Bombyx mori: one gene and its partners. The protein of the gene in region 2 binds, or shares a complex with, the protein of the main gene of each other region. Links are inferred from orthologs where the notes say so. Each region holds a gene or a part of one and is shown on either strand. Other genes may lie near its edges.

Region 1 (4,142 bases), on a different chromosome or scaffold from region 2:
GAGGATCCGAAATGACGTGTTTAGGGCTTCTCGTCCCTCTTGGCCTTGGCACGACCGTTTATCGGTCTTTTACTGGTATTTTACTGGTGGTAGGACCTCTTGTGAGTCCGCACGGGTAGGTACTACCGCCCCGCCTATTTCTGCCGTGAAGCAGTAATGCGTTTCGGTTTGAAGGGTGGGGCAGGCGTTGTGACTATACTGAGACCTTAGAACTATATCTCAAGGTGTGTGGCGCATTTACGTCGTAGATGTCTATGACCTCCAGTAACCACTTAACACCAGGTGGGCTGTGAGCTCGTCCACACATCTAAGCAATAAAAAATAAAAATAAAGTATTTTTGATAATGGTTTTTTTTTTTTTCAATGATGAAGATATTGCAACACAAAAAAAAGGATCTACATCAGCATAAAACTTGTCATTTATTCTACTTTTACTTTGTTTAATATCAGGAAGAACAGCATAATTCCAAAAACACATGAGTTATAATGTAATATGTATAGTTCTTATTTTTATATAAAAAAAGTTACATTACTAAATTTATGATGACTATGATGTCAGATATGATTACAAATTACTAGACCATTCAGGTGGAACATTATTTTAAATTAAACTAATATCTGTATTTGGTAGAGTAATCTTTCGGTGAGACAACAAGACCTCGTCCTTTTCTTGCCCCTCTGTACACAGTTTCAATAATATCAATCATCTCCTGCTTGTCTTCGAGAGGCCAGTTGATTTTATTGTTGTTGCCAGTCCCCAAGTCAATCATTATGTGTTTGTTGCGGAAGAAGAACATCACTGTGCATGGATCGTATAATTCATACCTAGAAATAAGTTTAAATAATATTATTATAGGCCTTGCTTAGTCATTTTATATACTAGACCCTTTCTACTAGACTAGAACTTTCAACCTTTTTTACTTAATGATGTATTAACATACTCTATATATACATGACACCCTTAAATGCAAAGATTTATAGTTGGGAGTGATGGTTGTTGGTATTTACATCACTCATATGTAATACTGTTGTATGGTTAATATTTAATAAACAATTGTATATTTAACCAACATGTATCCCTGAGATGCAATTTCCCAGATCACCTTAAATAAAAATTGAAATATCGTATTTCTAATTTTCACAACACACTTGACTTGCAACATTCCAGTGATCAAGAACTGCTGTTCTACTCTAGTCTTAAAATCAACAATTTGAAAAAAATTATTAACAATGTAGATAATGAAATTCATTTACTGTATGAACCAGACTTATTAAGAATTCCTAGAAAACTCATAGTTCTTTGCTTCTTCACTTATGATACTTTTTTAATAATTAATAAAACAACAAATTTAATAATACAACATAATTTCCTTAAAACACTGGAGGTAGGAGGACTTGTGTATTCCACAAAGGTTTTAAGAAAACCTATCAAAATCTTAATTTCAGAAATAAATTTAGAACAAGTAGTTTTACGGTATACTTACATTTTATTAAAATCTGGAACTTCTGTAATGTCAACTAAATATATGACAGCAAAATTTTTTACTTTTTCCGCAATGCTGTATAATACTTCATCCATTTTCATACATGTTGGGTCCCAGTCGTGTCCAAACCTTATAACCTAGATATGTAAATTAGAATTAATTACATTTAATATAGTTGAATCATAGGGCAAGACAATTAGGCCACTAATTAAATAACTATTAACTGTTTTGGCTCAAAGCATTTTGTTAGTTCCTTTAATTCAAAATCTATTGTTTTTTATACTAGAAGGTTGAAGGTCTTGGTTTCTACTGCATTTATATACTTTAACAAATACCTATTGATGTAAGGTTAGAATATAATTATTATTTTTAGTCTTCAGATACTAAATCTCAGATTTCTACATTCTATGAATCTAGTTAAAACTCACCACTACACGGTCTTCTTCTGATAGAATGGCCTGATCTACTTGCCAACCATTGTGTAGATGTCCTAGCATATAACTCATTTTGCAAATAAACTACTTTACGTATTATTTCAAACAAACGATTATTCCTGTATTCTTTTTTCTGGAAATTGCTATTGCTATGAGCAAAATATAATCGTGTTGTAGGACCACTGAACAAATATTGATATTATTTTGCTCACTGAAATTTGCCTTTCACATCTAAGACATTCCAAAGTTATTTTATTCTCACATTTTGTTTCTCGTCACTGTTCACGTTTTCTATAGAAGTGTGTTCAAAAAGTTTAGAGCAGGCGTTGTCTTTTTTGTTACTTCATAACAAAAAGAATGTTCTGTGAAATAGAGAACTTTAAATTTATAATTATTTAATAATATGTAGGTATTAAGATATGACTATTCTATGAGTAAATTTACAAACACTGACTTTTACCAGGTCATAAAATACCTTAAAAAAAATCACAGACCACAGTATGACGTATGACAGTAGCAGTTCCATTTTCCAACAAGAAAGGCGGAGGTATCAGTCCATACAGCGTAATCTTTCATGGAATTATTCTGTTATTTATATCAATTTAATATGAAGTTAATAATGATATGGATGAAATGAGGTGAAGTTTATTTATTTGAGGCTTTAATGTTAATCATATATTTTATCGTTACAACTCTTATAGGTACAACAAGGTATTTAAATTAAATTATATAGGTATAGGATATAGGTTATAGGATTTAAATTAAATAAAATTAATAATTTTGTGCAGCGACCGGCGCGGCGCGTGCGCGTTATTCAATTTTTCTTTATCGACCCTCCGTATTTTTACGAATCCTGCGAGGCGTCGCGGCGTCGGTCGCACGGCGTTGTTCGACACTTTAGGGTTCCGCTTAGCGTGCGGGTGTTGTAACGTAATGTTACAACTGAAATCGTCTGCAAAATAAAAAAAGAAAATAAAAAAAACCTTAAAACAAAAGTATTTATGTTCAAAGCAGTTATTTTATCGATTGTACCGCTGAGGTGACAACAATAGTTCCCACCTCCCCCCGAGACGTAGGTTCGGCTGGCGCAGACACTGCGCAGCCGCTGCGCCGGCAGTCGTCACTAGAATCGACATCAACCCCACGAAAAGCACAGCGGTGCTCTTCAAAAGGGGTCGCCCTCCGAACACCACGCTGAGCATCCCCCTCCCGACTAGGCGCGTCAACACCTCCGCCCCCGCCATTCGCCCAATCACGATGTTCGACCAGCCCATACCGTGGGCCCCGAAGGTCAAATATTTAGGCGTCACCCTCGACAGTAGGATGACATTCCGCCCTCACATCAAGACGGTACGCGACCGTGCCGCCTTCATTCTAGGACGTCTCTACCCGATGATATGTAGGCGAAGTAAAATGTCCCTTAGAAATAAGGTGACACTCTACAAAATTTGCATACGCCCCGTCATGACCTATGCAAGTGTAGTGTTCGCTCACGCGGCCCGCACTCACTTAAAATCGTTCCACATTATTCAATCCCGTTTTTGCAGGATAGCCGTCGGAGCCCCGTGGTTCGTCAGGAACGTCGACCTCCATGACGACCTGGACTTAGAGTCCATCAGTAAGTATCTACAGTCGGCGTCGATGCGCCACTTCGATAAAGCGGCACGACACGAGAACCCTCTCATCGTGGCCGCCGGTAACTACATTCCCGATCCTGCGGACAGAATGGAAAGCAGTCGACGTCGCCCAAAACACGTCATCTCGGATCCTCCCGATCCACTAACGGTGCTTCTAGGTACTTCAAGTACCGGTCACCGTTCTCGTCGAACCCGTCGCTTGCGACGAAGGGCTCGACGAGTAAATTAACTCTCAGACACAGCCCACTGAGTTTCTCGCCGGATCTTCTCAGTGGGTCGCGTTTCCGATCCGGTGGTAGATTCTGCGAAGCACGGGTCTTGCTAGGGTTCGTGTTAGCAACGTCATCAGGTTTGAGCCCCGCGAGCTCAACTACAAAAGTTAGGGTTACGCTGAAATAGCCTCTCAAGGCTCTCAGCGTAGGTAGAAAAAAAAAGTGTGTGTGTCCGCTCCGACGCACGACTGGAGTTTACTGGATATAAATATAAATTTGTGTCAGTTGAATACAGTAAAATATGGAAGTTACGTATTCTAGTGAGAATGATCCGGGAGTTGCGGAACACGTGGATGCGGTAATTAAGTAAGTCTA
Region 2 (4,177 bases):
TGGTGGCCAGACATTAATTTGACACAGCGTTCTGTTGGTGCAAACGGTCTAACGTCCCAAATACGGAGTGTATTATCCATTGAATTGGACAGGAGATATGCACCATCCCATGACAATGATAATCCTGGAAACGAGTATTGCAACACAAGTTAGACATTGCCAGTCATTAAATGTATCAAACTCATATGATTTCTATTCACATATTTATTGCCGCACCTGGGTAGATGACTTCACGATCTACAAGTAAACTAAACAAGTAGTCTTAGTCATGAATTATTACTACTTATAAGGCTAGAGACATTCTAATAATAGCTGTTACATTTCTCTAAAATTACCTAATACCAGTTTGGGCTACCGAAGGCAGAATGGGTGAAGAAGTTTACAATACACCCGTCAACAAGTAACAACAGGGATTATAAAGAGAAATACATATGTATGCAACTACTACTACTGTACTGCATACCAATCAATCCATTCTCATTTCCTCATAAGATCAATATTTGTTAAATACATTGTATGGTAATCAGTATTTTAGTAGTTAACTAATAGACTGAAGTCATTACTGTCATCATATTGCCCTCACTCCACTCTAGATAAACTGTATCAATATTTTAATTTAATTTCTGGTTGCAGTATTATCACCTAATAAAAATCTAATTAATCAGAATCAATAAAGAATTACCAACCTGTAACCGTGTCTGTATGTCCTTTTATTTTCAAGGAAATCTGATTATTCCTTATATCCCACATTTTGATGACATTGTCCACACCGCTGGATAAAATTTTTTCAGCTGTATCATTGAAGAGTACACTTGTGACTGGATATGAACTGTCAAACGATGCAACTGGATTCCTTTTCCTTGCATCCCATAATTTTATGGTGTTATCATCTGAAGCTGAAACTAAGAGTTCTGGACCTCTTCTTGCTCCTGGATATAGAGATAACACGAGAAAGTTAGAATAGATTGTTACGTTGTCTAAACCAATTTTTTAATGGATGCCATGAATGAATTTACAGTTCTATTGTATCCACAGGCATTGAGATTTTAGATTGATGTTATCTGGTTTCAAACCATGGTTACGGATTATAGTTTCAATTTTAGGTCAATCCCACTTTATTTGGATCCAATCACTTTAAGGCTCTGAGAGTGCAAAGTAATGTTTAATTAAGTTACTGTTGTGTATTTGTACTACTAAAAAGCACTAGCATGAAAACCATTGTGTGTCAAAACTCAAACTATGAAACATACCTGAAACAGAGTTCACAAAGTTAGCGTGACCCTTTAACTTCTTGATTCTAGTCCCGGTGGGTACGTCCCATACTGCTACAGTATTGTCCGTAGCTCCAGTGTACAAATGTGAACCATCAGGTGAGAAGCAAAGCTGCATTATTGCTCCCGTGTGACCTTTCATCACCATCACATTCTCGCATTGACCATACACATTCCATATTACTGTGAAAATAAGAAATCAAAAATCATAATATTACTAAGTTGGACTTGTACAGCTTATAAGTTGTCAACATGACCCTGACATTGGTGGAAATTTTCAATGGTATAAACATTTATTTTGTATTTTTTTATATTAATGGTGGCTTAAGCTAAACAGTTTATATCAGCTATCATTTTGAGTATTGTATCATATTGTTCCCTACATTATAGGGCTCGTGTCACTAAAACCCCAGTACAGTGTGGCCCATGCCTGGGATATTGGTACTGGCAGTCATTCTTAATAATGCATATTAAATCAAACTGAAATGGATTTGGACTTCAGAGAAAATTTAAGACGCTGTAATATAATGTCTATGGTCTCCAATAATCACTTATACACTAGGTCAGATTTTACCTTGTTCACTCTTTTCAATTAAATTTAAAACCTACCTACTGTAATCTTATAATTTGTGTTATCAAATGTGTCAATTCTTCATTAACGTTTTGATAGTAGTATATTATTAGAGTGTGAATTTTAGAAACACTTTGCCAATTCAAAAGCTTTGTCATGATTTTGTTACTTACATATTTGTCTGTCAAAGCCTGCAGAAGCCAAATGTTTGCCTTCAGGATGAAATTTGCCTGTGAAAATTTCTCCTTGGTGTCCTTCCAACAACATAATTGGCGCATACAAGTTTGATGTTCGTGGAACCTAGAACGACAAGAATATAAAATACAAAACACAGGAATCTTGGAATCTTGTTGATCACTACAAATGTTGAAAAATAAATCTTAAAGTAAAAGCCGACTAAAATTCGTATTACCTTAAATTTTAACAAATATCAATCATGATTACCTAAGTACAGATTGTGTTTTTCTAAAAGTTTATTTTAGATGTTATGTTCCATTTCTAATAATTATAATTATGATCTCTTGATGCTTTCACCGTGGCGTTAGAGTTCTTAGCTTTTATAGACCGTACTATTGAGAAAATAAGTAAACTTTATTGAAAACAATACTCACAGATGAAGTAACAACTGCCTTTTCTCTGGTGCCGACTACTGAGATCTCATGCCGTACTCGCTTGGAGGGTACAAGAGACACATCCTCTGCTTTTCTTTTAGTTTCTATATCTGGCATTTTTTAAGATGTTTATTTACCTATTTGTTTTTATAGCTACAAACAGAAATACTAACCTTAAAAATGGTATAAGGACTGTTTAGCTTGTTTCATTTGTCAATTGTATAGGCAAAAGGAAAATAGCCAATATCGCCAAATTCTTTGTAACAAAAGACAAAGCTACCTTCTAAAAAGTTTTTTTTTTGTATACCTATTCAGATGAGAAGATGAGATAATGAGTCATTCAAAATGAAGAACTTAAAGTGTTTACTAGAGCCCATAGTCATCTACAATGTAAATGCCGCCATGCACCTTGAGATTTGAATTCTAATGTCCCAGTTTTTAAAGTACAATGGTTTTTTTTCGGGCCCGGGGCCGATCCTTCTAAGAGGTCCCCGCGCCTAAGAGGGCGTGAGATATGTGGAACTTTACGATCTGCAGGTTTTGGGAGCAGACCGCGGGCCCAAGGAGTTTTAGGGCCCTACCGCACTAAACGACTCCCTTGCACATTTACACCCAACGTCCGATCTCCGTCCGGGCTCAGAATCCGGACAATGTAGGGGGGGTTCCCGCGGTCAACACTATAACCAGACACGCGGCGCCCCTCCGAGGACCCCTGACCGACGGGTCGTCGAGACGGTAGTCGATGACCAATGACGCTGGTCTCCGCGGTACGGTGGCCCTACCTGGCCGCCCGGGCGATGCCGCTGGTGTTCTGGGATACTCTGCTTGGCCAAAACCAGCCTGATGGGTCAGAACGCGATACACCTCCGACCGCGTTGCTCTTCCACAGTATGTTCGGCGACGATAGTGACGACGACAATGCGGACCGCATTGCAGGCCGTAGTCGCTGACGTGTTGTCCCGTCCTCCTTGTGCCAGCGCGCTAGAGTGATGGTAGGTAGCGTGCGGCGCAGCCTCAACCCCCTCAGGTGAGGGAGTTGGCCCGGGGGAGGCCCCGTGACCATCACCGGGAGGAGACTGCCTCCTCAAAAATTCAATGGTTGTCCCAGCCTTCGAAATGAAACGTATTACTGCTTTATGGCAGAAATAGGCAGGGTGGTGCTACCTATCCGTGCAAACTCACAAGACGTCCTACCATCAGTAATTATGCAAATTATAATTTTGCGGGCTTTGTTCTTACTACACGATGTTATTCCTTTACCGTGGAAGTCAGTTTAGTTGATATGTACGTATTTCATTAGAAAAATTGGCACTTGCCTGCGCAATTCGAACATCGTTACATCGCTACATACGAATGCACCAAACGTCATATCCTTTAGGTCACGACGGCTATAAATCATTTGTTTAAGTTACAATTTTTTCACGTGTAGCCCCGATCGCTTTGTTTGTGTAATGAACTTTTAAAAGAGACGAGAACGCATTTTTTTTTTTTTATTGCTTAGATTGGTGGACGAGCTCACAGCCCACCTGATGTTAAGTGGTTACCGGAGCCCATAGACATCCACAACGTAAATGCGCCACCCACCTTGAGATACAAGTTCTAAGGTCTCAAGTATAGTAACGACGGCTGCCCCACCCTTCAAACCGAAACGCATTACTGCTTCACGACAGAAATAGGCAGGGCGGTGGTACCCACCCGCGCGGACTCACAAGAGGTCCTACCAC
Region 3 (3,664 bases), on a different chromosome or scaffold from region 2:
GCTGTGGACCTGCCCACTCAAGGTAGGCCGCCGCCGCCTGCTCCGCACTTACCACTGCCTCCCCTCTCACGCCTCACTCACAACGCCGCAATAATAAAAACATTCAACTTCGCCGGACACGTCAGTCTGGTCAGTCCGAACTCCGAATGTTAATAAGTTAATTTAATAATTATTTATTACTACCATTAACAATGCAGTTATGTACTTTAACGGGTGGCGTATTGATTATCAAATCGGGGCAGTAAGTTTGAATTTTTTGTAAATTAATCTCTTTAATACCTTCCCTAATTTAGTTTGGATACCCCAACTACCAAGATTTTTACCACTGAAACTCAGAAGTTGAGTCTCAAATTTCGAACCCGAAAGCAATGTTCGTTGTTATATGAGTAAATTAGACACATTATGCTAATGAACTGACCTCTATCTGTTGTTGAGGAAACAAACATTACTTTTTATCAGTAACGTGACATTAACTTGAAAATAAACTTTATAAAATACTATTTGTTTTCATATAATTTATTCAAAACAACAAAATGACATTTTTTTCATAATATTTACTAAAATTATATTGGTTTTCGTCAATCTTTTCTTTACGTGTTTGTAATATCCATAGTAGCATTTCCACTTCGTTATCACTATTCCGCTTACAATAAGGTATAGAATCGCTTTTAACAACTTTAAATTTAGAATTACAATATCAATAATGATTTACTATTTCACGTACTTTTCCATAAATTTCTTATGGAACTCTGATCTTAATGAGTCATTTATAAAAGTATTAGGTTTCTTTTCCGGTTCAGAACGAGCGCAATTTTTGAAAACAACGTCATCATCCCATCTTCTTTTTACCTGGAACAACCCAAAAAAAATATAGATATAATATTACGATTGTCCTTTTTTTTTATTTGCATAAATGGGTGTACGAGCTCACAGCCCACCTGGTGTTAAGTTGTTATTGCAGCCCATAGACATCTACGACGTAAATGCGCCACCCACCTTGAGATATAAGTTCTCAGGTCTCAAGTATAGTTACAACGGCTGCCCCGCCCTTCAAACCGGAATGCATTACTGCTTCACGGCAGAAATAGGCTAGGGGATGGTACCTACCCGCGCGTACTCACAAGAGATCCTACCACAAGTCGTTACGCAAATTAAAATTTGCAGGTTTGATTTTTATTACACGATGTTATTCCTTCACCGTGGAAGTCAATCGAGAATATTTATTGAGTACGTATTTCATTAGAAAAATTGGTACCCGCCTGGGATTCGAACACCGGTGCATCGCTCAACATGAATGCACCGAATGAGTTATCCTTTAGGCCACGACGACTTCTTAAATTCTTCTTAATCGACCCTCATAGATGAAGGTTGTGACTCTCATAACTCAGTCAGTCTCTCTCTAATGATATCATGTAGAGGCCTAATGACGAGTTGTGCTGAGTGGTGCCTCTGGGCGTTCCAATACCGGATTCATCCAATGCTTGAGCAGATTATGTTAATGTTCTTAAAATCACTTTCAATTACTTTTGCATTTTTGTATGGTATTTATTAGTGGGTGTACAAAATCACAGTCCCTGTGGTGTCAAAACAGCAACCAGTGTTTATAGAACCGAAAATGTAAAATAATGAATCAACCAAAGTCTAAATGAAATTATTTAATAGTCTTGAATCCTCAATATCTGCCGCTACATATGCATAATGAAAGGAAAAATAATTTTTTTGTGCATTATTAAAGTATTCCCTGTGGAGTATCAATGATATTGATTCAAATACAAGTAAACCGAAAACAATAGCAACAATACGTTTTAATAGTTATTTTTATAGCATAGATAGGTGAACAAACTTATGGCCAACCTGGTATAAAAGGGTTATCTGGTAGTTGTCAGTATACTTCACCAATGAGATATCAAAACAGATACTGATTGAATATTATTTGCACATGTTTCAATACACATCATATTATTATCATATGGCAAGGATATCTAAAATACCAATACACAACAAAAGCTCTGAATAATTATAATCTAAGTGAGACCCAAGTTTATAACCACTTAACACCAAAAAGACAATGCTAGACATACTTGGAAGAATGAAAAATAATATCTTGAAACAGATTTGAAAAGTACCATAGTGTACCAGAACAGAAACATACAACACATACATAAACATACAAACACATAAATATGCCATAAAAAAAGTAAAACACAGATAGTATTGTTACTATGGAATAACAAAATAACAAAAACAAAACACCAGCAAAACAACAAATGCCAATTAAAAGATGCATTTAAATTATTTATCAAGATAATCCTGGTCAATGTGTAATTTAATAATGTAGTATCATGAAACTGACTAGCCAGAATGAAGAACTTGTACTACAACAAATGAATACCTACCCACTGCAGAAACTAAAGGTCATCTACACTTTTTTTATTCCTTTGATGGGTGAATTAAGTTCATGGCCCATAGAAATCGACATCTTAAATGTTGTCACCCACTATGAGACATGAGTTCTAAATATCAGATTTTATACCAAACGAAAACACATTACTACCCCATTCTACTGCCATTCATTAAGCAAATTATAATTTTGGTGGGTTCGATCTTTATTAAACACTATTTGTTCATGATGGAAATCATTTGTCAATTTACGTTAAGTATATATTTCATTACCATTGGTACCTGTCTGCAGGATGAGAGCACCGGCACAGTCACATAGCTTTATACAAATGCACCGGGAGTCTTTATCTTTTAGGGCACAATTACTTCAACATTGATAAATACAACATCAATGACATCTGCAGTTCAGTTCAATCACCAAACAGTTATCAGGAGTTAAAACAAAATTCATTTTAATGTTTTTAATTACCTTCATGTCATTCTTCTGTCCTGCAGCGGAGTAGTTGAGTAAAGGATTACCCGATAATATGTTCTCCATTCTAATTCTTTCCTCTTCTTGTTTCTTTTCAGCTTCCTATAAGGTAAAACAAAATTGATTTGTGCAACAAGGTTTATTTGTTATTTGAATTTTATTTAGTTTGGGTATCAAAATACACTAAAGTACACTAAAGTTAGACAAATTAAAAAAAATATATATTGTAAAATTTAATTTAAACATACTTTGTGTACATCAGTACAAAAATAGTCTTATAGTATAGTATCTAACTCTAGTATCTAAGATATATCTTACTTTTTTAGCTTGTTCAATGGCCCTTTCCTTCTTAATTCTGTTTAATTCTGCTAGCAATGCAGCAGTATCATCATCTGAATCATCAGAGTCAGTGGAATCGCCTTCAAGAGGATCATCAGCATCAAGACTTGCTGCAGGAACTTGATCAACCTTAGTTCTTTTTGCTTGTGGTTCACTTGTACGTTTTGTAGTCGTAGTTTTAACATCTTTTTCTCTATCATCCAACTCCTTACGAAAATCACGAGAGCGTAATTCCTCAGATGTCCCTTGACCTGATTCCCTATTAAAATAGATTTTAATATTTGACTTTTTCTTTACATTTTGGTGCATTACAAACGTGGTATTTATGCTTTGAACGAGTTATACATTGTGGTTTTGAAGGGTAGCGTATTTTCTAAAACAATAATTCAAGTACTCTACCTTGTCTCAAGATGGCTTTTTATGAGGTCCGTTAAGCACTTACCACCACGCGGG
Region 4 (3,978 bases), on a different chromosome or scaffold from region 2:
TGGTTTCTTAATATTGAGGGGGGAACAGAACGGGTTGTGTTGGACTCTGTACCTGACGGCCCCTACGGGAGATGAACGGAAGCTTCGCGCCCGCGCCGCCCACTCCGCCTTCTTCGCTGAGGACCTGAAGAGAGATCCCACTCCCTTTCGCACTCCTCAGCCTCATGGAACACCAGAATCAGTTCGCAAAGCCTCGCACGAACTCTTGTCCTTTAACATAAGATCAACGACAGTCGCAAGGAGATGTCCCTCCCCAGCACCACGATTAGATCTCACCGCGTGTTCTCCCGACGCGGGCACGCTTTGAGATGCGCTTCCGTTTTAAGATTCGAGTGGTGAGGTGGGAGTCTCAGAAGTCCGTACGATCAATATATTTCATCAAATTTGAGTTTCGTCGAAGTTTTTCATATACGCTCTGCTGACTTATTCTCTGTTCTATTATGAGTAGCTCCGTTAAGCGTTACAGAAATATAAATTAATGTACCTACCCTCCTGTCTTATGTTTTAGAGAAATTACTTTATAAAAAGCGTGATTCTGTGCTCATGTAGAAAAACAAATCCTAAGATAGCAGACAGATTTAAAATAACAAATTAATTAACTTAATAATAATATGCCGAAAATTAAACATGATATATTTATAAACTTAGTTTTTCAAATGAATTGAGTTATAAAGATAGTCGTAGGTAGCCATGCTGAAAAAATAAACAAATAGAACAAGTGAAGGACACATCACTTAGTTATCTATCTATCTATCTATCTCTTAGGCTTATGGCGTTTCCTTTTAGATTTCGCCAATGTCAAGTGTATTTAATACTCTGCTTTCTATAGCGGGCTTCGTGAACGAGCAAGGTCACAGATATTCACTAAGAATTAAGTGAGTAGCTAAGAATATTTGATGACAGGATCTCTGTTGATTTACCTAAAACAAATAAGACGCACACAATATATATTATACAGGGGTTAGTTCGATAACAGACAGACACTTAGTTACTGTTAAATACAATCGTATTGGGTTATGGTGCTTTTAATGTTTAAAACATTGTTTTACATAGTTGAGAACAAAAACATTATTTCAAACCTAAGAAAATTATTAAAAAATCTATTCACTTCAGTCTGCATTGTACCTACCTTTCACGTTCAGAAACATTCAAATCGGCACGCGTCGAGATTTTGACATTGACGTTTGACACTCACGAATGTAAACACATTGATTGATTGATTGTATGTATTTTTATCATACCATTAATTCATATTTCATTGTTTCGGGAGCATAGTTGGATATGGATCAAGAAACAGCGAAAAAGCTGCTAGTGGAAGGGGGCACGTTTGTATTCTTGAGAGTCCCTTCAGAAACCCAGTTTGGCATCGATATGCAGTGCTGGAACACGGAGGAAGATTTTCGTGGCGTTAAAATGATTCCTCCAGGCTTACATTATGTTCATTACTCTGCTGTCAGTAAAGGTACTGGCGATATTGCACCTAGGTAAGTGCGTTTTATATATACTTTAAAAAAACAATCCTAGTACTATACAAGGAATTCAAGTTTGGAGGTTGTTTTTGGAATCTTATCACTTAATTTTAATATGGTAATTCGATATCAGATTTACACTCAGAATTTACATATTCGAAGCACAAAATATATGTATACAGCTTATTAAGTTTCTTCGTGTATTGTTATTGAACTTATATGAGACTGATATCAATATTATTGTTACTTGCATACCTAAATAAATTACTTTTCTTGATTAAATTCCAGATCTGGCTTCATGCATTACTTTCACAAAAAAGAATTTCTTGTGAAAATGTGGGACAAAAAAACTGAAGATTTGAGCAAGGAAGAGATCAGTGATGAGAGCATCCAACGTTTGAAAGATAATTTATTTAATTTGGACCGACATCTTGCTCCATATCCATATGAAATATGGCAGAAGTGGAAGTTACTGTCTTCACAGATCACTGGTTGGTGTCTTCAATTAAAGAAATACTTGCCCTACAAATCTTGAATGAACTTAGTCTTGTTGAAGTTGGTGGTAGTTCACATTATGAGCCTGGTCATATTGGCATAGTGGAGCATATTGAGACTGGTCACTGTCCTCGCCGAACCCGTCGCTTGTGATGAAGGGCTTAATGAGTAAAATTAACCCATAGACACAGTCTACTGAGTTTCTCACCGGATCTTCTCAGGGGGTTGCGTTTCCGATACGGTGGTAGATTCTGCGAAGCACTGCTATTGCTAGAGGCAGTGTTAGCAACACTCCTGGTTTGAGCCCCGTAAACTTAGGCTTGTATCAGAAAAAACAATTCATACAAGAAACTAAAATATTGTGTTATTCCAGAATCTTATATCAATAATCTGTACTAAGTTTAATTTCTATTGTCAGCTGAACTAGCAGCAAAATTGGCACCAGAAAGTGGAATGATAAGAGCATCAGTTGAGCTTTTATCGATGACTGATGCAGAAAGACCAAGAGGAGTCAAGTCTTCATCTAGTTCAATAAGTCAGGAGAATGAAAAATCTCCCACTAAAGAGGATTTCAGTGAAGAACAGATTGCCGGACACTCAAGTGCTAAGAGAGCTAAAAGAATCACAAGGGAAGAGAAAGAAAAGTCATTGTTACCAGATTTGAAACCAGTTCCAGGTAAATTAATGAAACAAAGATAAATGTAAATAATATTTTTCCCCTATATATCTACTAAAATAAAACTACACGCCTAATTAATTACTGATTGTAGGACCTGTGAGGCTGCATGGATAGGTTATCACCAGCCTGCATATTTCTGCCGTGAAGCAGTAATGTGTTTCGGTTTGACTATACCTTAGAACTTATATCTCAAGGTGGGTGGCGGCATTTATGTTGTATATGCCTATGTGCTCCAGTAACCACTTAACACCATGTGGGCCGTGAGCCTGTCGTCTGTCCACCCATGTAAGCAATAAAAAATATAAAAAAAAATAAAAGAATTCTAAAATGTGAATCTTTACAGGAGCTGCTATGAGATTCACAGAAATACCTCAAGATAAATATCCACCGGATGCAACACCAGAGGAGATCACGAAACATTACTTAGATCAGTCATACTCATTAGAGCTCATGATAGCACAGCATAATGAGTAAGTATCTATTTTTATTAACTGTTAGTATTTTAAGAGAAATTTGAGGGTATCTTAATATAAAATTTTGTTGACTACATACTACATTCATATGTTGATTACATATACAGTTGAATGTCTATGATGGATATTTTAAGCATTGTTCAGTGCCGAAGTTATCAGGAAGCTAAAGTCAAGTCTCGACTCTTGACATGATTAAATGCACAAAAGCCAAAATCTAGAATTCTATATACGTGTTTTATTTTTCAGACCTCTACACATCATAGGAGAACTGCAATTCGCATATTTGTGCTTTTTGATTGGGCACTCCCTAGAGGCTTTTGAGCACTGGAAGAGCCTCGTCATACTCATATGTTCGTGTGACGAGGCCATACACAAATACAGAAGTGTTTTCTTTCACTTCATTAGGACTATTGAGGTGCAAATCGAAGAGATGCCCGAAGATTTCTTAGCCGATATAGTGATGAATAAAAATTTAGTATACAAGAAACTCCGTGAGTTTTTCCGCACGGCTTACGTAAGCAAAGTCGACGGCAGACTTTTGACGATGATTGAACGCTTCAAAGATAACCTGACCGACAAATTGCAATGGGATTTCACTGGTCTAGACGCTGACGATGAAGACGAGAGGCCGGTCGTAGTGAAACTCGACGATGGAACTCAATAGATTATATTTAATGGCTCCTCTTCACAATCGGCCATGATAGGCCAACAAACAATCGTCCATCATCGCCGCCATGATGGGGCAACTCTCCACACAATCGTGAACGTTTATTTACTGACTGTCTACTGATATGTTAAGACGTCTAGGTATCGATGATGGAAATCGAGGAGATCGCGGCTGCGGCAATATTTTTAGTTCTAT
Region 5 (4,080 bases), on a different chromosome or scaffold from region 2:
GTAAATGCGCCACCCACCTTGAGATATAAGTTCTAAGATCTCAGTATAGTTACAATGGCTGCCCTACCCTTCAGACTGAAACGCATTACTGCTTCACGGCAGAAATAGGCAGGGCGGTGGTACCTACACGCGCGGACTCACAAGAGGTCCTACCACCAGTAAAGCTAAGTACCACCAGTAAAGTAGGCTTTGTTCAGTATCCTTTGAAGAAAAGTAAAATATTTTACATAGAATTTAAAACATTTTTACACTAACTTGTGGCGGGAATGGATGTAAATATGCAGGGGGTGGTGGCAACGTCCCAGGCAATCCAGGAACTGGTTCCAACATGGGTACACCATCATTCTTCTCAGTAAGTCCTTGTCGTCCTGTTATATACAACAACATTACACACTCATAAATATTACGAAATATAAACTTTTACTATCATATTACAGATTGAGGTCTTTAAATTATACTAGTTTGAGTACAAACCTCATTTCAGAAAATAACTTGCAAAAAACATATTGAATACTTTTTCATAAATGTAGTGTATTCTAACATTTTGTAGTTACCAGGTACTCTCTTAGAAACTTGCACAATGCAATAATAATGTTTTGTTACCTTGCGATTTACCCCATTTGATTGTCAGTCTCTTGCCAAAAATAACAAGACGATTGAAAGTCTTTTCTGCAGCATGTTCTGCAGCATTTCTTGAAGTATATTGCACAAAGGCACACTGGGCTCGAGGTACAAGAGTCAAACATCTGAAAATTCAATAACTTCTAACATAGTGCTAATTTTATCAAACAAGTCTAGAATAGTGATTTGTTTTCTAATGATACACACATTTCTAATGACAACATCACACCATTAATTTCATCAGCCTTGTGATGATGATCAAAATCTCAATTACATTAATAGATAATAAAAAAATACAAGGGAATACTACTGTGAACTGATGAGAAAAATGGTTGTAGCAACTTAAGATAACCACCAATCAGATATCGGTCTTATTTTAAAAACCATAATACTAGGGATGTACTATGGTTTACTTGGTACATAATCCTTAAATTAAATATTAGTTAGTCAACTCTGAACATATGAGAATACTTTACATTAGCTGCATAATTTAAATAAAAAAATATTTAGATTATTAAAACATAATTAAGATATATGCAGTGTATATCACCAGACACAATTATGAGTTTATTTCTATGAACTGTTTGTTTCCAGAGCATTGTTATTTGTTGTGTTAACTTGTCAAACTTACCTAATTTCACCATATTGGTAAAAGTGGCCTCTAAGCTCGTCCTCAGTGACATTATCAGGAAGATTACCAACATACAAGGTAGTAACAGTTTTGTCTTCAGGTGGAGGTAGAGCAGGCATTGCAGCAGCACGACGCATAAGCTTCTCAGCTACTGGATCATTTACACCATAATACCTGTGAATAAAAAATTATGAAACCTTCAACTTTTTTTTTAGAAACACTAACAGCTATTTACTGTAAAATATCAAGAGATATTCAATAACAACTATGATATTGCTGTTATTTCACATACTATTATTACAATGGAGTTTCAATAACTTAAGCCTCATTAATTCGCAATCTTTAGTCAGGATTTGGTTCATTTTTGGAACTCAAATGAATAATTGATCAAAATCTATGAATACCTTAAATCGAAAGACTTTTTGTAATGCAATTTACTAAAATTCCACTTTACAAAGACGTGTTTATTTTTATTTTCACTAAGCAGATGTACAGAAAACTTATGTGACTAACCTGTCTTTAATGTTCTGATCAGCTAGTGGATCATCAGGATCTGTTGGCTTCTCGTGACGATACGGACATTCTTCCCCTCGTCTACATTCTCCTTTGACCCAAAACGAGCACACGTGCGGTCTATTCCTCTTATAATATGGAGCTGTTCTAGCTAACCGCACCAACAAATCGGACGATCCTTTAGATTTTAGAGAATTGGTTGGCTGTGTTGGATCAGAGTTAGACAGCTGACTCTCCAAGTTTTGTATGTAATATTCCTTGTTTACTTCGTTTCGAGGTAGGTCATCCTGAACTTTTAATGCAGCATCTCTCACTTGGATTGGCAGACCATATTCCAAATCCAATAAACATGTTTGACAAACATTTTTCAGTTTCGAACAGGTCTGACATATTTCTGTTTTCTTGAAACGCATTCTTGCTCCGGGACACCATCGAAACACTGTGAAAGGTCTTGAGCATATTTTACATTCTTTACCGTATTTTTCTTTAGTCTGAAAATAGTTAAATGAAAAAAAACAATCAAAGTTGTCGAAATAATGTTATCGGAAACCACAATACATACCATTCTAATGTAAGGGTTATCTCCAAGACATGTTTGGCACAATATTGGAAAATCCTGCAAAAATATAACATGGTTACTACCACAATGAGATAATGATAATTGATAAGCTTCAACAATATACTCACGGCGTCTTCCCAATTCTGACGATTGTATGTGTTTGTTGACTTCGATGTAGCCATGGCGTGTCCTTTCTTGATATTATTTTAGATTCAACGCAGCTTAACTGTGACAAAAATAATTGTTGAATTGAAATGTAATTTGTATTGTAAAGTTGAAATGTAATTTAGTTTAAATTACCCTATCAAACAAAACACTTCTTTCCCATTTCTACATGCAACTAAATCACAAAAGTATTTAGTTACCAAGGTACGTCATTGAACATTCATTTTGTAATGACAGATTTTCACTCTGAACGAACAGCACTGAAAGTGTATAATCTATGGCACTGAACCGTCGACAGTCGACACTGGGATGAACATAGAGATTATTGATTTTTTTCGCTTAAACAGACAAAGAAATCAAGAGCATACAGTTCTTTTGCAATGGAAAGTAAAGCCAAGCCTATTCTATGTAGAATTAAGAAACTCTATGACTAAAGTAGTTGAACTACTTGGACTTCAAAGGAAATCAATTCAAATAATCTTTCAGTAAAAGGGGAATTCTCTGCAGGAAATGCAAATTTCATAGGAATTAAAAAATATCAAAAGAGCGGTGCTACTAAGAGCCATTTCCTCAGATCACTAATATCGTTAATTTGCTACTACTACAACACTTACGTAATTTGACTAAAATTGTTCAACAAGTCAACGAAGCTATAAAATGCTATATCAATTTCCAGTTTTCAGCTTTATAAGTCAAATGGCCGTCACTGCCGGCGTTGGAACACCAGGTCGATGTTTCCATTCTTTTTCCACTTTTTAAATAAATAAAAAACTTCATAGCGAAATAGAAAGACTCTTGGTACTTAACCGTACTAGGTTATGTTATGGTGAGCTGAGCAGAAACAGTGAAACAGTGTAGAATTAGCAATGTTTCTCAGGTTGTTTGAGTTTTGAGTTCTTTCTGTGTTTAACTTCTGTTTTTACTACTTTCTATTAATTTTCATTACATTTCGAATAATCACCTTCAGGTCTTATTATGATTACTGGTGGTAGGACCTCTTGTGAGTCCTTATGGGTAGGTACCATCGCCCTGCCTATTTCTGCCGTGAAGCAGTAATGCGATTTGAAGGGTGGGGGCAGCCCTATACTTGAAACCTTAGAGCTGATATCTCAGGTGGGTGGCGCATTTACGTCGTAGATGTCTATGGGCTCCAGTAACAGGTAACACCAGGTTTGCTGTGAGCTCGTCCACCCAACTATGCAATAAAAAAAATAGAATACTTAATTCTGGATAGTTATTGATCTATTACTTAAATCTTACGATGAAATTTTATAACTAAAATCCCATAACGAATAAATGTACTACTGAGAGAGGGCACATGAGAAATTAATTAGAAAAGTATTAGTAGAATTATTGCTTGAGGAGACAAATTTGAACCTAATACCAAACCATCTTCACGGATGGATACAAAGTTTTTTTTTGACGAGCCAACGGCCTACCCGGTGTTAAGTGGTTACCGAAGCTCATAGACATCTATAACGTAAATGCCATCACCCACTTCGAGACATCTTAGTTTTTACAGTGCAATGGCTGTTCCACCCTTCAAACTAAAACGCATTACTGCTTCACGGCAGAAATAAGTAAGGTGGTA
Region 6 (2,602 bases), on a different chromosome or scaffold from region 2:
ATCACTCTTTAATTCATGAAGAGTAATGTAAGGGCAAGATTGTTAAGACCAGACAATGTTTGTTTCAGGTTATGTAAGACTGGTAACAAATGTAGGACATCTGAACTTTGAATTGTACTGCGACGTAACGCCCAAAACTTGTCACAACTTCATGACACATTGTAAAAATGGATACTACAACGGAACAAAGTTCCACAGGTCTATCAGGAATTTTATGGTGAGTTGATGAAAATATTAAGTGGCGTTGAGTTTTATACCACGACTAGTGTAAAAAGACTGGTAGTTCTGCTTTGCAGAACTTCAACTTTTTTTATTGCTTAGATGGGTGGACGAGCTCACAGCCCACCTGGTGCTAAGTGGTTACTGGAGCCCATAGACATCTACAACGTAAATGCGCCACCCACCTTGAGATATAAGTTTAAGGTCTCAAGTATAGTAACAACAGCTTTTTTTTTTCGGGGAGAAATCCTCATGGATTGCCTCCGCCTGGTGAAAGGCGGAGGGGCGTGCTGGACTCCTACCGGCTAAAACCACCCTGGTGCCTCACCACACGTGCACGCGGGGCCGCGGGAATCGAAATTCTTCCGCAGGCCCACATAGTTAAAACAGCTGCCCCACCCTTCAAACCGAAACGCATAACTGCTTCACGGCAGAAATAGGCAGGGTGGTGGTCTCCCACGTGGACTCAAGAGGTCCTAAAAAAAGTGTCTGACATCTTGATTAATTAAACTACGTATCGAGGGGTGAAAGGCCATTTGGCTTAAGCTTCGATCAACAATAGTACAATTGTTGATCGAAGGGCTTAAGCGACATTTTTGCTACATTACAGGAGGACCGTTTAAAGTTTATAATTGGGACAAAATATTTTTACGCGTTGGGATTCGGGATAACTAAAAATTCTACCGAAGTACAATTTAAAACTGTATTAACGCATATAACCACTTAACAACGGGTGGGCTGTGAGCTCGTCCACCAATCCAAGCAAAAAAAAAACCACAACATTAAAGTTCTTAATTCACTTCTTCCGCTTCGCTTCAGGTGATCCGTTCGCTGTTTCGCTTCGAGTAGATGCGATTACTGACTGCCTTTGTGTTATCTCTGCAACGCTTTTATAATAGATACAACATTATTATTGCATTGCGTATAAAGCGAAATATCGCTTAAACCAAATAGCCTTACACCTCTCGATATGGCCTCCTGACTGAGCCTTTGCTCGCCCACCTGTCCTGGTGACAATGGAAAGGCCACCAGTAATCCTTCATTTTGAAAAAAAAGTTGGTCTGGGACAGCTAGCTTTATTATTTTAATGAAAACTATCAATGAACAAACAAATTGAATTAGAGACAGATGTGTGTCTAGAGTAATTCTATTGTAAGCTCAGAACTACTTACTATATCTGCAATATGGTTTTTGGGATAAACAGGTGATAAGAGGATACAGAACCTATGACCTATGGTCTCACTTTTCTGTCTATTTTTAACACAAAGCAATCATGCCAGAGGCGTTTAGTTTTAGACTGTCTATAACTGTCTATTACCAGATGGACCGTGAAGTTCGTCTGGCGATTAGACAACTTACCTGTTTAAAATATATGATTTTTTTATTAAACTAGCTGACGCGGCCGACTTCTTAGTGCCTCGATAAACAAAAAACCTAAACTTTTGTAAAAAATAAACTCAAAGGGAAAACAAAATTGTTATTTTTATTTAATTCCGAGCATTTTCATATTTATCTACCTTTTAAACCTTCATTCAATTCAAGACCAAAATTAGCCAAATCGGTCCAGCTGTTCTCGAGTTTTAGCGAGACTAACGACCAGCAATTCATTTTTATATATATAGATTCAAGGAGGAGATCCAACGGGCACAGGGTTGGGAGGCGAATCCATTTGGAAGAAACCTTTTGATGATGAAATTAAGCCAAACTTGCACCACACCGGACGAGGAGTCTTGTCTATGGCTAACTCGGGAACCAATACTAACGGATCACAATTGTAAGTACTAGATGTATTTTTAATAACTATAAATGAACTGAAGCTTTTAGGACTGGGACAGAGTTGCTTTTTTGAAATTGTAGTTTCGTGTTGTATGAATTTTCTAAAACAATAAATAAAATTACTATTCTCAAAACTTCACTATTTGAAAATTAAATAAATACAAGAACGTGAAGAAGACCAGTGCTTTGGTTCTACTCAAGACTGTGAGTTTACCTAGTCTTGCCATAAATACTGAGACAAAGGGAAAAAAAAAATCTATTGCAAAAACGTTTATTACTTTTACAGTGTGTTAGTTTAAAACATAAATATAAAACAATTTAAAGTATTAAAAGATTATTCGAAGTGGTCTCCATTGGCTGCAATACAGTCCTTTGAACGTTGAGGCCAGTTATCAATAGAAGCACACACTCTTTCCATGGGAAAATTTTTCACTGTCAATCGTACGGATTGTTTTAGGGACTCCAAATTATCATGGCGTTTAGAGCAAGCCGTACTCTCTAAAACTGACCATAAATTATAATCCAGCAGATTAAGATAGGGACTAGACGACGGCCAGTCTTCAGCTGTCAAGTTCGAGTCCGAAACGTTCGTTTCCAACCAAGACTG
Region 7 (4,009 bases), on a different chromosome or scaffold from region 2:
GTTGAGTTCGCCTACGCTCTTCAACCTGTATATGAACGAGCTGATCGGCGAGCTCAGTAGGACCAGGATTGGTTGTTTCATAGACGGGGTGTGCGTAAACAACATCAGCTACGCAGACGATATGGTGCTGCTGAGCGCGTCTATCTGTGGCCTAAGGCAACTTGTTTCTTTGTGTGAGGGATACGCCAAATCACACGGTTTGGTGTACAACTGTAAAAAGTCGGAGATCATGGTCTTTGAGACCAGGGGTGGGACGCATGATAAAATACCTCCCGTAGTACTCAACGGAACGCCATTGACAAGAGTTTATAAATTTAAATATCTCGGCCATGTGTTGACCCCTGATCTCAAAGATGATGAAGATATTGAACGAGAGCGGAGAGCGTTGTCGGTTAGAGCAAACATGATAGCTCGCAGGTTTGCACGGTGTTCACTTAAAGTCAAGGTCACCCTCTTTAGGGCCTACTGTACTAACTTTTACACGTGCAGCTTGTGGGCTGGATATACTCAAAGATCGTACAATGCTCTCCGTGTTCAATACAATAACGCGTTTAGGGTGCTGGTGGTGCTGCCCCGCTTTTGTAGCGCATCAGGGATGTTTGCAGACGCGCACATAGATTGTTTTTACGCTACCATGCGTAAAAGGTGTGCATCTCTGGTAAACAGAGTGAGGGCCAGCTCCAACAGTATCCTGAGCATGATCGCAAGCAGGCTGGACTGTATATACATGGGTCGCTGTGGTGCCATCTCCCATGGGATGTTACCACAGTAATTCATTGTGATGTAAATATAAATACTAACATAGGTCTAAGTCTTATTAACAATTTATATGAGTCATGGATACTTGAAATAAAAACATTATTATTATTATTATTATTATTATTAATGGTTTAATATCTGTGAAAGTGCACAAATGAAACAAAGCCGCTGGACGTAGCTTCTAGGGATCCTCCAAAAAGCCCACTAAAGAAGTCTCAGTAAATAACCACCATTTTACTGAGATTATATTTCATCCCATGTTATCTTATCTCAATTTATTTCATTTCATCTCAGTTGATTAATGTCTCAAATTAATCATCTTCATTTCATTTTATTTCATTTGACTCCCTAAATCATTTTTCATAAAAATAAGAATTTAAATATAAAATAAGACATGACCCAAAAGTCTTAGTTACCAGGACATAAAATCCCTTTAAAAAAAGTGTATTATGGCTTTGAAACATTTGAAAGAATGTTGATTTGTGACATTTGTGTTTGTCTAAATTGATACCATAGATAATACACATAATAATATAAAGTTCGTCAAATTAATTTTCTAAATTAAATAATTTGAAATTTTATTTAATAATGGCTACGACTGTAAACCAGAAAGCGTACTTGCAAAAATACCTGGCTGGTCCATCGGGCGATAAAAAGAAAAAGAAAAAAAAAGTGCTAAAAGGAAAAGGGTAAGTCAACTGTAGACAATGTGAACAATAATTGAAATTAAACGTGAAAGAATTTACTATTTCTAAAAAAAATACCTTAAATATCTACCGTTTTGATATTTACAATTGTATTTTGGCATTATATTAAAGTGCTGTCGTCACACTAAAATGCATTTTAAAATTGAAAAAAAAATCATGTACATTTTCACGTATTCTCCTTACAAGTTATTGTATTTTAAGTAAGTATTGATTATTTGTATAATGAAATACATAACAAATGCGAATTAATTTCAAATTTCTTATTCCTGTCAATATTTTCATTCAGTATGGATGAATTTTTTGGTTGCTTAAGCATGTTGTTCTAATAAGGTTCGAACAGTACATTAACTATATCATCACTCTCGGCTCATCTTCCTTCAAAGACGCAAACGTCAGTTCCAAATAAAGAACAAAAAAAAATTCTTTCATTAGTGAAAGATACAGATGACAAATAACCTTACCTGTTGAAACACTAAAGTGAATATAAAAAATGTATTTTCTCATCTAATTTTAGGTTCAAAATAATAGACGATGACATTGACCTATCGAAGCTACGACCCCTTGAGGGTGACGAGTTAGATGTGTATGATGAAGGTGATGACGCACCGCAAGTAGCAGGTATCATCGATGAAAGACCAGAGCATATAAAAAAACAGGAACAATTCACCACTAGTTCTAAATGGAAGATCGTGAATCAGGTACACATGTTTATTACTTTATTTTTACTGTCAAGCCTTCAACATATTAAAAAACCATTCTAATAGAAATCTTATTCATCGATTATAACAGACACCGAAAATCGTTACAGGATGACGGATTCAACAGCAAACTACAAATTGAAGAGATAAAGAAAGATGTAAAGGAAACCGAGAAAGAAAACGAATTGGTCTTTGGAAAAATGTACAGTGATTCCGAAGATGATAAGCCAAATGTTTCAGAAGCTTCGCCGTCTGGAAGAGCTAAAAGCAAAAAAAAACACAACAGTGACAGCGACTTCAGCCCACCAAGAAGAGGGAATCCAGTGAAAAGGAATAATTCTCCTAAAAGAACTACTGAATATGATTCTGATCTTTCACCACCTAGAAAGCATGAGGGTCAGAGAGCTGAAAAACTTAAAAAACCAAGTCGTTGGGACAATGAGAAGGATAAGTCACCAAAGTCTTTAAGAGCTAATAACCACAGAAGATCTAAGAGCTCTGATTTGTCTCCTCTAAGGAAAACCCAAATGAATAAGATTTCTTCAGGACAAGATATGAAAATTCAAAAAAGATATGATGTGACATCTCCCAGAAAATCTAGAAAAGATGATTCAAAACGAAATAGACTTAACTCAGTTTCACCTCCGAGGCGAAAAAAATCCCCAGAGAAATCTAAATTTGGTCACGATAACAGACAGAGCCAGTTAAAAAAGTATAATGATACAGATTATGGTTCGAGGTATGACAAAAGATCTAACAGATCAAATTCAGATTCTGATATGTCTCCCCCAAGAAAGAGTAAGAGACAAATCTCAGAATCTCCCTGTAGAAATGTTCCACTAAGAAAAAAAACGAATGATAGTGATTCAGATTTATCTCCTCCCCGTAAAAATATAAGATATGCAGAAAACAAGTCCTATAGGAATGTAAGCAAAAAACCTCACAGGAGGAATGACACAAAAGACAGTGGTTCGGATTTATCACCACCGCGAAAGCTTAAGAATATAGATAACTACAGAAGGCATGACTCTGAACGTAAAAGAAAAGACAGAAGTTCAAAAAGAAATAATAGCGATTCTGATCTTTCTCCTCCTAGGAAAGATAGGTCTAACAAGAATGACAGTCCCCCTCCAACCCATAAAAAAATGGAGAAGACTTTGGAAGGAAAGAAAGCAGGATTACAAGATGCCAAGCAGCTGAGGCAAGAAAACGATGACTTTAGAAAGAAAGAAGAGGAGATGTTTAAGAAAATGAAAGATGATGTTTCAGGCAGGAATGCTCAAGTTGTGTCAAGGAAAGGTTAGAATTATTAATATAAAATTTAATTTAAATAATAAAAAAAAAGAATATTACACATATCTACGGCAATCTAATTTAAAATTATAAGTAATCTTTGTTACTTAATCTTACTTTATTACTTATTCTCTATTACTTTAGTACTTAACAAATGTTCACGATTGACTTCCACCATGAAGGAATAACATCGTGTAATAAAAATCAAACCCGCAAAATTATAATTTGCGTAATCACTGGCGGTAGGACCTCTTATGAGTCCGCGCTGGTAGGTACCACCACCATCCTGCCTATTTCTGCTGTGAAGCAGTAACGCGTTTCGGTCTGAAGGGTAGGGCAGCCGTTATAACTATACTGAGACCTTAAAACTCGTATCACAAGGTGGGTAGCGCATTTGCTTGTAGATGTCTATGGGCTCCAGTTACCACTTAACTTCAGGTGGGCTGTGAGCTCGTCCACCCATCTAAGTAATAAAAAAAAGTTACATAGTTAAAGTCAAAATAAATATGTGAGCATTCATTGTTCATGGAACATATTTTTATACAAAAATTT

What was found.
Region 1: U5 small nuclear ribonucleoprotein 40 kDa protein (region 2) and thioredoxin-like protein 4A share a complex: the UniProt entries of both Homo sapiens proteins name them as parts of the U4/U6-U5 tri-snRNP complex. The link is inferred for Bombyx mori from reciprocal best matches to the Homo sapiens genes SNRNP40 and TXNL4A.
Region 3: U5 small nuclear ribonucleoprotein 40 kDa protein (region 2) and protein CWC15 homolog share a complex: the UniProt entries of both Homo sapiens proteins name them as parts of the minor spliceosome. The link is inferred for Bombyx mori from reciprocal best matches to the Homo sapiens genes SNRNP40 and CWC15.
Region 4: U5 small nuclear ribonucleoprotein 40 kDa protein (region 2) and protein AAR2 homolog share a complex: the UniProt entries of both Homo sapiens proteins name them as parts of the U5 snRNP complex. The link is inferred for Bombyx mori from reciprocal best matches to the Homo sapiens genes SNRNP40 and AAR2.
Region 5: U5 small nuclear ribonucleoprotein 40 kDa protein (region 2) and pre-mRNA-splicing factor RBM22 share a complex: the UniProt entries of both Homo sapiens proteins name them as parts of the postcatalytic spliceosome P complex. The link is inferred for Bombyx mori from reciprocal best matches to the Homo sapiens genes SNRNP40 and RBM22.
Region 6: U5 small nuclear ribonucleoprotein 40 kDa protein (region 2) and RING-type E3 ubiquitin-protein ligase PPIL2 share a complex: the UniProt entries of both Homo sapiens proteins name them as parts of the minor spliceosome. The link is inferred for Bombyx mori from reciprocal best matches to the Homo sapiens genes SNRNP40 and PPIL2.
Region 7: U5 small nuclear ribonucleoprotein 40 kDa protein (region 2) and BUD13 homolog share a complex: the UniProt entries of both Homo sapiens proteins name them as parts of the minor spliceosome. The link is inferred for Bombyx mori from reciprocal best matches to the Homo sapiens genes SNRNP40 and BUD13.

What each region holds. Positions count from the first base shown.
Region 1 is NC_085120.1:13,294,256-13,298,397, forward strand, and holds thioredoxin-like protein 4A, read right to left. Parts: upstream 2,801-4,142; 5' UTR 1,991-2,800; coding exon 1,913-1,990; intron 1,622-1,912; coding exon 1,485-1,621; intron 826-1,484; coding exon 612-825; 3' UTR 402-611; downstream 1-401. UniProt on the Homo sapiens protein: Plays a role in pre-mRNA splicing as component of the U5 snRNP and U4/U6-U5 tri-snRNP complexes that are involved in spliceosome assembly, and as component of the precatalytic spliceosome (spliceosome B complex).
Region 2 is NC_085109.1:1,114,854-1,119,030, reverse strand, and holds the start of U5 small nuclear ribonucleoprotein 40 kDa protein, read right to left. Parts: upstream 2,801-4,177; 5' UTR 2,571-2,800; coding exon 2,454-2,570; intron 2,143-2,453; coding exon 2,016-2,142; intron 1,455-2,015; coding exon 1,251-1,454; intron 930-1,250; coding exon 687-929; exon of another isoform or gene 125-686; coding exon 1-124. UniProt on the Homo sapiens protein: Required for pre-mRNA splicing as component of the activated spliceosome. Component of the U5 small nuclear ribonucleoprotein (snRNP) complex and the U4/U6-U5 tri-snRNP complex, building blocks of the spliceosome.
Region 3 is NC_085110.1:8,228,614-8,232,277, forward strand, and holds the end of protein CWC15 homolog, read right to left. Parts: intron 3,471-3,664; coding exon 3,191-3,470; intron 2,975-3,190; coding exon 2,870-2,974; intron 850-2,869; coding exon 712-849; 3' UTR 501-711; downstream 1-500. UniProt on the Homo sapiens protein: Involved in pre-mRNA splicing as component of the spliceosome. Component of the PRP19-CDC5L complex that forms an integral part of the spliceosome and is required for activating pre-mRNA splicing.
Region 4 is NC_085115.1:3,919,477-3,923,454, reverse strand, and holds the start of protein AAR2 homolog, read left to right. Parts: upstream 1-1,178; 5' UTR 1,179-1,281; coding exon 1,282-1,484; intron 1,485-1,757; coding exon 1,758-1,960; intron 1,961-2,382; coding exon 2,383-2,640; intron 2,641-2,986; coding exon 2,987-3,113; intron 3,114-3,362; coding exon 3,363-3,780; 3' UTR 3,781-3,978. UniProt on the Homo sapiens protein: Component of the U5 snRNP complex that is required for spliceosome assembly and for pre-mRNA splicing.
Region 5 is NC_085127.1:4,267,745-4,271,824, forward strand, and holds the start of pre-mRNA-splicing factor RBM22, read right to left. Parts: upstream 2,801-4,080; 5' UTR 2,625-2,800; intron 2,551-2,624; 5' UTR 2,507-2,550; coding exon 2,453-2,506; intron 2,382-2,452; coding exon 2,328-2,381; intron 2,257-2,327; coding exon 1,766-2,256; intron 1,427-1,765; coding exon 1,253-1,426; intron 747-1,252; coding exon 604-746; intron 369-603; coding exon 256-368; intron 1-255. UniProt on the Homo sapiens protein: Required for pre-mRNA splicing as component of the activated spliceosome. Involved in the first step of pre-mRNA splicing.
Region 6 is NC_085116.1:14,595,389-14,597,990, forward strand, and holds part of RING-type E3 ubiquitin-protein ligase PPIL2, read left to right. Parts: intron 1-68; coding exon 69-217; intron 218-1,841; coding exon 1,842-1,993; intron 1,994-2,602. UniProt on the Homo sapiens protein: Has a ubiquitin-protein ligase activity acting as an E3 ubiquitin protein ligase or as an ubiquitin-ubiquitin ligase promoting elongation of ubiquitin chains on substrates.
Region 7 is NC_085130.1:5,568,827-5,572,835, forward strand, and holds the start of BUD13 homolog, read left to right. Parts: upstream 1-1,209; 5' UTR 1,210-1,347; coding exon 1,348-1,448; intron 1,449-1,980; coding exon 1,981-2,164; intron 2,165-2,274; coding exon 2,275-3,463; intron 3,464-4,009. UniProt on the Homo sapiens protein: Involved in pre-mRNA splicing as component of the activated spliceosome. As a component of the minor spliceosome, involved in the splicing of U12-type introns in pre-mRNAs.